Linked DNA regions of Ovis aries. The protein of the gene in region 1 binds, or shares a complex with, the protein of each later gene. Links are inferred from orthologs where the notes say so. Each region holds a gene or a part of one and is shown on either strand. Other genes may lie near its edges.

Region 1 (3,645 bases):
GACATGACTGTAGCGACTTAGCAGCAGCAGCAGCAGCATGCCTAAATAACATTCTATTAAATTTATATATATAAATATTGTATTCTTTATCCATTCATCCATCAGTGGACACTTAGGTTGTTTCCATGTTTAACTGTAACAAATGATGTTGCAGTGAACATGGAAGTGCAGATATCTTTTCAAATTAGGGTCTTTGGTTCCCTCAGATAAATGTCCCGAAGTAGAATTATTGGATCATATGGTAGTTCTATTTTTAATTTTTTGAGGAACCTCCATGCTATTTCCCATAATGGATACATCAGTTTACAGTCCCACAGACAGTATACAGGTTTTCCCTTTTCTCCACATACTAACCAGTCTTTGTTATTTTTTGTCTTTTTGATAAAAGCCATTTTGACAGGTGATGTCTCATTGTGGTTTTGATTTGTATTTGCCTGATTTGTATTTGTGGATGGTTTCCTTTCCTATGCAGAAGCCTTTTAGTTTGATGTAGTCCTGCTTGTTTATTTTTGGTTTTAGTGCCTTTGCTTTTGGTATCAAATCCAAAAAAAAAAAAAAAAAAAATCATCACTAACACAGATGTCGGGAGCTTACCACTTACTTTTTTTCTAGGAGTTCTATGTGCCCATACAGTATTAAAAGAAATTTTGGTTCTAAAGTAGCTTTTCTCAGCTCGTGTTCCATGTCAGAGTTAAACCCTATGGGAAGAGATTTGAGTGAAATTAATTCATTAGATATAATGGATTGCTTAAGACATTAAGACTTAATTTTGTTTTGGAGCCCCCTTGAGAAGAGTTGATATGAAGGAATAAATGTTTTGTATAAGAGCAAAGGCTCTTTTGGCATTTTTATCTATGGAGAAGAACTAAAAAGACAACTGATAATTGATGATACTAGTCTGGTTTAACCATAGGTCACACTTAACTTTCTGCAGATAACATCTTAAGGGAAACTTCTCATTCAAAATCTGCCCAATATATAGAAATCAAACTAGTTTTCAGAGAAATAATCCTCTTGAGGTAGGGATTGATAGTGATTAGAAGCTTCTGATAAGGGAGTGCTAAAAAATTGTCCTTATAAAATTATAATTAGTGTTTGCCTTTTTCAGTGTACTCACGTGAGTTACTTTACTTCTCAATGGCACTGAGATACTTTCAGTCCTCAGCAGATGAAGAAAGAGGAACAGGGAAAACTAAGTTACTTGCCCAAGTTCTTAAAGTATCTGCCACAGTTGGAATGTAAATGTTAGGCCACGCTTCATCTTTGTAGGAACAAAACAGCTCAAGTCTCACTTGGAACAGTTTTAAGTAGAAATTTATAAATTGAAGTATTAGTTAGCTTTTACTTTCTTCTTATATTTGAAGGAAAAGAGAAAGGAGGAATGAAAGGTTGTTGCTGAATGAAAAAAGGCGGCCAGGGTTCTTGGCCTCCGGAGGAGAAGAATTCAACCTGGGGCCAGAGACTAGGCTTGATCGCTCAGAGCTTTGTGTGATAATGTTTTATTAAAGTATAAAGGAGATAGAGAAAGCTTCTGACATAGGCATCAAAAGGGGGCAGAAAGAGTACCCCACTTCTAATCTTCAGCTGGATGTTATATACAGTCACTAGCAGTCTCTTCTCTTGCCTGGAGAATCCCAGGGACAGGGGAGCCTGGTTGGATCTCAGAGTTGGACATGACTGAAGCGACTTAGCAGCAGCGGGCAGTCTGTTAATGAAAGAAAGGAATGTCTTAAAACTCAGAATGGCACCAAGCCCCTTACCCATAAGATGCATTTTGGGATAACCTTGGCACCAAATGGTTCATCCTGGGCCATAAAATGATTAACTTCAATCTTGTAGAAGGACAGATTACCATACAAATAGTTTCGTTTACATAGATTCAGTTCAGTTCAGTTCAGTCTCAGTCGTGTCCGACTCTTTGCGACCCCATGGACTGTAGCCCACCAGGCTCCTCCGTCCATGGGATTCTCCAGGCAAGAGTACTGGAGTGGTTTGCCATTTCCTTCTCCAGGGGATCGTCCCGACCCAGGGATCGAACCCAGGTCTCCCGCATCATAGGCAGACGCTTTAACCTCTGGGAAACAATATCTGCGTATAACATACTGGTTTGTCAAGTAGGTTCTGAGCCAAGAGGCCAAACCTGCTTGAAGACAGAGTCTGGGGTAAATGCATAGTACATTAGCATAGCTTAAGACAAACATTTCCATAAGAAAAATGCATTGGTTATCTCAAGGTTTGAGAATAGTTAACTTCAGGTGAAACCAGGTGTCGTTATGGCAACACAGTATTTTAAGAAAAACCTCCTTTTAAATTTGTATAGAGAAGGAAAAAAATATCGCTAGTTTGTTTCCTCTTGCCAATTAAGAGAGATAAAAATGTCTGACACTTGCAGGCTATTTCCTCCCTTTGGAGACCCCTGGCCTTCCTGCCTGTTACCCTCTCAGGAATTACTGGCTTCAGTTTTCAAAGATACGTACTCTGGAACCTCAGTGTAGCATAAAGTTTGATTTTAGAATTGGAGTGAAGGCCAGAAATAATTGTTGAATCTTAGGGTTATAGATAATATGTACATTTTTTTTAATGTACTTAACTTTTATGGTCCTTAACTATTTTGTTAAGTTACTTCATGGCGTTAAGGCCTTAAGTAATATCCTAATGTAAATTCCAGTGAGACTCACTGGCTTTGATTCTTAAAACATTAATGCAATTATCTTTCCAGATTTTGTCCATGATAGAAGAAGCAGCTGGAACCAGGATGTATGAATACAAAAAACAAAATGCTCAGAGGACTATAGAAAAAAAGGAGGCTAAGCTGAGAGAAATTAAGACGGTAATTAAATTTATATAAAATATTTTTAGGGAAGAGAGTACTTTTCTTTTAGAGTTTCTCTGCTGTAAAAGAGGGAAATTTTACCACACCTGTCCTCTCCCCAGCCTTTGGTCAGTTTTCCTTAGTCTCTTACCTTTTAAATTTCTTTAGTGGTACTTCACGTACTCAAAAATATTTTTTCCTTTATTTTCCAGATACTTGAAGAAGAAATTACTCCAACCATTCAAAAATTAAAAGAGGTGTGTACTGTATATGTGAGGACAGCCAGCTAGAATGTCTCTCAAAATTGGTGATGAATCCATGATGATACTCATGGGGGTGACATGTGTTCCATTCCTCAGAAGTGTTTCTTGGAGATGAGATAAGGAGTTAGAGTTGATAGTCCATGCTCAACCTTCTGCTTATAGGGGACAGTGCATTTCGTATCTGTTAAGTCATAATGGTTTTAGAGATTGACTGTCATAATCTCAGAAAGCAACATGCCAGATTTTCATTCTTTGTTGAAGACAAGTGTAAATCTAAATTTTCCTGGATAGTTAGAATTGAGTGGAATAAATATTTCTTACAGGTATGGTACTCTTAGAACCTCTTGGTAGAGTGAGTAACTTCTAGGGTAAGAGGGGTTATCACTAAAATTACTGCTGTCAAGGCAGTTAGTAGATAATAGGTATTGAAACAGATGGCTGTTTTCTCTATAATCTTTGCACTTCTGACATCATATCACTGTTTCAGTGAAAGTATTTTAAGTCATGTATTTAGAAATTTCTTACATGTTCATTAAAATTTGATAATTCTCAAGCACTGAATCTATACAG
Region 2 (4,368 bases), on another chromosome or scaffold:
ATCCGTGCTTTCACTGCAGGGGGCACGCGGTTCCATCCCTGGTCAGGGAACTAAGATCCCGCATGCTGCGTGGCACATGGCACAGCGCAGCCAAAGAAAAACACAAAAACAAAAAACCACAAGGGTGACAAGTTCTACTGATGCCTCCAATAAGGACGCTTGAGTGTATCAGGGAAGGCCTCCCTGAGGAAGTGACATGAGCTGAAACCTGATGGGAGTTAACTGGGTGAAGATGAAGATGAAAAGGATCCTGAACTTAGGAAACATCACCCTGGGCCCCAGGAGAAGGGGGTCAGAGCAGGTTTGTGGCTGCTGTGGACCAGCAGGAAGGAAACATGGATGAAAAGAGATGTAGGATTGAAGAGACTTTTAGCAACTAAAGAGAGTCCAGCAATGGATCCAGCAGATAGAATGAGGGAGAGGGAGGTGCCCAGCATGGCTCCTGGGTGCTGATTTCGGTTCCTGGGTAAACTCATTTTATTTCTTCTATCGAACATTGCCTTATACGAAAGATTTGAAGGTGGTCACTGGGAGCACAAGTTTGTGCAAAAAGTAAATCGGCCTAAAAAAGTCGTTTTCAACGGGTAGTACTTTTTTTTGGTTACCAAAATGACTGAAGGGCATTCAGTGAGCAGATGGTGTCAGAGACACTGGACAGTCCTACAAAGAGGGCAAGAGTGTCACACGCTAAGAACTGTTTCACCCTGAATGCCAACAGCACCCTTGCAAAGAAGCACTGTATAAAATGTCACGTGTTAAGAAATTAAAGGATGCTTTAGGAATATTTGAGGGAACAGTCTTTTCTCCCATAATACAATTCTTTGGTTGCAATGAGTGGAATTAACAGGCAGCACAAAATCACCTGTCTCACTTCCAATCTTAACCTTACTTTTTTGGGGATAAGATATCTAGGAATCTTTTCGCATGAATATATACTAGCGAAAGTCTTCATTAAAGCACACACAACATCTTGCATCAGTTCCCCGGCCTGTAAACGCTCTGCATTCCGGCGTCCGCTCCCTCTCACCTCCATCCCACACCCAGTCCATCACTTTCGCCCTCCTTAGTGAGTGTTCTGCTGCCCTCACAGCACAGGTCGCGATGGCCAAATCAACCTTTGTTTCCTTGGTCACCTGCCTCCTCCCTTAGTGAATTTCGTGAAAGCAAAGGTGCCGCCCGCTCAGCTCCACGCTCGGTTCTTAGGGCCCAGTTTCGCGTCTAGCGCTTGACAGGACGGAGTCTCCATACTATTTCGTGAGGTGGGGGCGTGCGCCACGGATCCACTACAGTCCACCCTCACGACTCGAGCCGAGAGCCCTCAATACTGATTTCCCCCTTCCACGCGGCTGGGCCGACACTCCTCGCGCGGAGGACCAAAGCGGTCTGCGCAGGCGCGCCTCCGGCCCCGCCCACGTTGGCGTCATCACGGCCGTTACGGCGACCTGGCGTCTCGGCGCGCAATTTAAAACCAGCTCCGGCGACGCGGAGGACAAGATGAGACCTCCCTGCCCTGGTGAGGCTGTGCGGCGGGGAGGCGAGGCGGGAAGGGCGCGGTGCGAAGCGGTGCGAAGCGGGCGGGTCTGAGCGGGGAGTGCGGTATTCTCGGCCTTGTTGGTTTTGTTTTCCCGGGGCTGAGCGAGAGGCCGGCAGGCTGGGAGAGGAGGGCCGGCGCGGGGTGGGCAGGCGGGCAGGTCCGGCCAATCAGGACGCGGCGTCGGCCCGGGCTGCTCTTCCGGCCTTGAGCCGGATACCAGACGCCTTTTCCTCGGGCTCTTACACCTTGGGTGGTGTCTCTTCGTTAAAAAATGAGGTTTTCCCGGAGTGCACGTTTGTTCAGGGCCATAGGAGTATGGCGGTTACCGCTATGTGGTTATTAGGCTTGCATTTCTGTTTACATCCTTTCAACAAGTCCCCAGTGTCCTCATTGGGCCAGACCCTCTCTCAGATGTAGAGATCGATTACAATAAAGAACAAAACAGATAAGATCCCATCCTCTTAGAGCGCGTGTTTTAGTTCGGAAGAGAGGGAACTAAATAGTTACAGATGAGGCTGAGTGCTCACTTTGAGAAGAGCAGACTCGGGGGAGGAACTCAGAGATCTTTAAGATTCTGGAAAACGGGTTCCAGGCAGAAGGAGCAAGCACACAGAAAAGAGTAAGCGAGAAAGAGCCTTACACGGGCAAGGACCATGACATTGTAACTGAACATCGAGTGACGTCCGACCGGTCAGCAGGGGCTTTGTAGGTCTTGTGACGAGGTTTGGAAATTGAGAGTTACTTTTTTTGGACGTGGTAAGTGACTTACCTGAGTGGGTCAGGTAATCACTTGGATAAGAGTTTGACGCTAGGGGCAGTGATACGAACTGCTCAGGGAAGTGGCCTATGGACCAAGAAGTAAATTTGGTCATCATTACTGTATAGCTCCCAGCTCGTTGGTGGCTCCGATGGTAAAGAATCTGCCTGCAGTGTAGGAGAGGCAGGTTCGATCCCTAGATCAGGAAGATCCCCTGGAGAAAAGAATGGCTACCCATTCCAATATTCTTGCCTGGAGAATCCCATGGACAGAGGAGCCTGGCGGGCTACAGTCCGTCAGGTCACAAAGAGTCTAAGCTACAGGCCTGAGCGACTAACACTTTCACTTTCATTGTATAGCTGGCAAAACCATGGAAATAGGTGAGAACACCAGGAACACCCTGTAGAGAAAACACTTGCCACCAATGTTTAGAAGCTGATTAGAAAAGGAAGGGCTGGCAAAACTCAGAGAAGAGTGGTATAGAAGCCAAGAAGCCTCGGAAATCTCAGAGGCAGAGTGTTGTCAGCTCTTTCAGGTGCCGTTGACTCTCAAGAGGGACGAGGCCTGAAAAGTGACCATTGGGTTTGGCAGCATGAAAGTTGTGGGTGATGATGACGAGACAGTTTTCATACAGTGGTGGGCATGGGAGCCACACCAGAGGGGTTGAAAAATGAGTAGGAGGTGACGAAGTGGATATACAGTGTTTTTGAGCTCAGTAATCCATCTGTTGAAAGAATGGATGTATAATGTTAAAGGGAAGGAGAGAAATTTGAGGAAAGACAATTCTGAGAAATAAGGTGTGGCTCAAATTTCCGTTTTAAGTTTCCCTCTTAGACAGATTCCTCCTTTAATGCTTTCTATATCTGTTTTTCTTCTGAGGTCCAGCTTCCTTCCTTACATTGGTTGCAGTGCCCACATTCAAGTAGTCACAAGTCCTCTTGATTTAGCTTCTAAAACTGTCTATTGCCTCCTTCATATTTTTACTTTCTTTTGTTTTGCCCTCAGCTGAAGGTTCTGCTAATCATACTCTTTAGCTTGTGGGACGCTATCAGGGAAACTTATAAAGCTGTATTTTTAATTCTCTTTGATCCCCAGTCATCATTCCTTTCCTTCCTCTTGCTTGGGCAGCCTTCTAAATTTATATCTTTATTTTCTTTTTGGATGTGCTGGGTCTTCGTTGCTGCGCAGGCTCTCTGCTTGCAGCGAGCAGCAGCTGCCCTTTGTTGTGGCGTGCGGGCTCAGTCATGTGGCTCCCGGGCCCTAGAGCCAGGGCTCAGTGGTGTGGCACAGGGCTTCACTGCCACTTGGCGTTGGGATCCTCCCGAGCCAGGGATCACAGCTGTGTCCTCCATCGGCAGGCGGGTTCTTCACCACTGAGCCACCAGAGAAGCCCGTGGGCAGCCTTTTAGTGTTTGCTGTGTGTCACTGATGTGTTTTTATGAAACTAATGTGTTCTTATCTAACGTGTGTTATATTGTGGGGTTTTTTCACATCACCAGTTCTGAACCAGCCGAGGTATACATTCTTATTCTCATTTGGAGGATGAGGAAGCAAACCTTTAGAGCATTTACTTAAAATTTCTCCAGCTAGTAAGTGATGGAGCTGGAATTTGAAGCCAAGTCTTCTGATTCTTAAATCTGAAAACTGCCCCCAGGTTCCTTCACCTCTCCCCTCCAGTGATCGCTTCTTGGCCTGCTCTCCTCGGCGGTGGCTATTCACCCTGTGGTACCCTAGACCTTATCATCATCAAGAACTCTGCCGCTCTCATCCCAGTGCGCCCTGCCTCTCAGGCCTGTTGTTCCAGCTTGCTCCTCGCCCTCCGGCTCCAGCAGCCCTTCGACCCGGCAGACCTGTCTGCTGCGCTCTGCTCCTCCCTGTCTCACCTCTCTCATGCCCTCGCTCCCTTCCAACATAGCTTGCATTCCGTGGTCAATCTGTGTGATCACTTCCCTTCTTAACGCCCGTAACCCCTTACCCTCTTCTTGCCTCTCACACTTGCTTGTGACAGAATCACAACTCTGATTAATCCCTACTCTGCCCCAGGCCCCTTGCACCCTGTCCTCCCAAGGGGACCCTA

Evidence for each region.
Region 2: SMC2 (region 1) and NCAPH share a complex: the UniProt entries of both Homo sapiens proteins name them as parts of the condensin complex. The link is inferred for Ovis aries from reciprocal best matches to the Homo sapiens genes SMC2 and NCAPH.

The regions. Positions count from the first base shown.
Region 1 is NC_056055.1:18,991,394-18,995,038, reverse strand, and holds part of SMC2 (structural maintenance of chromosomes protein 2), read left to right. Parts: intron 1-2,719; coding exon 2,720-2,830; intron 2,831-3,024; coding exon 3,025-3,069; intron 3,070-3,645. UniProt on the Homo sapiens protein: Central component of the condensin complex, a complex required for conversion of interphase chromatin into mitotic-like condense chromosomes.
Region 2 is NC_056056.1:104,030,043-104,034,410, reverse strand, and holds the start of NCAPH (condensin complex subunit 2), read left to right. Parts: upstream 1-1,459; 5' UTR 1,460-1,494; coding exon 1,495-1,513; intron 1,514-4,368. UniProt on the Homo sapiens protein: Regulatory subunit of the condensin complex, a complex required for conversion of interphase chromatin into mitotic-like condense chromosomes.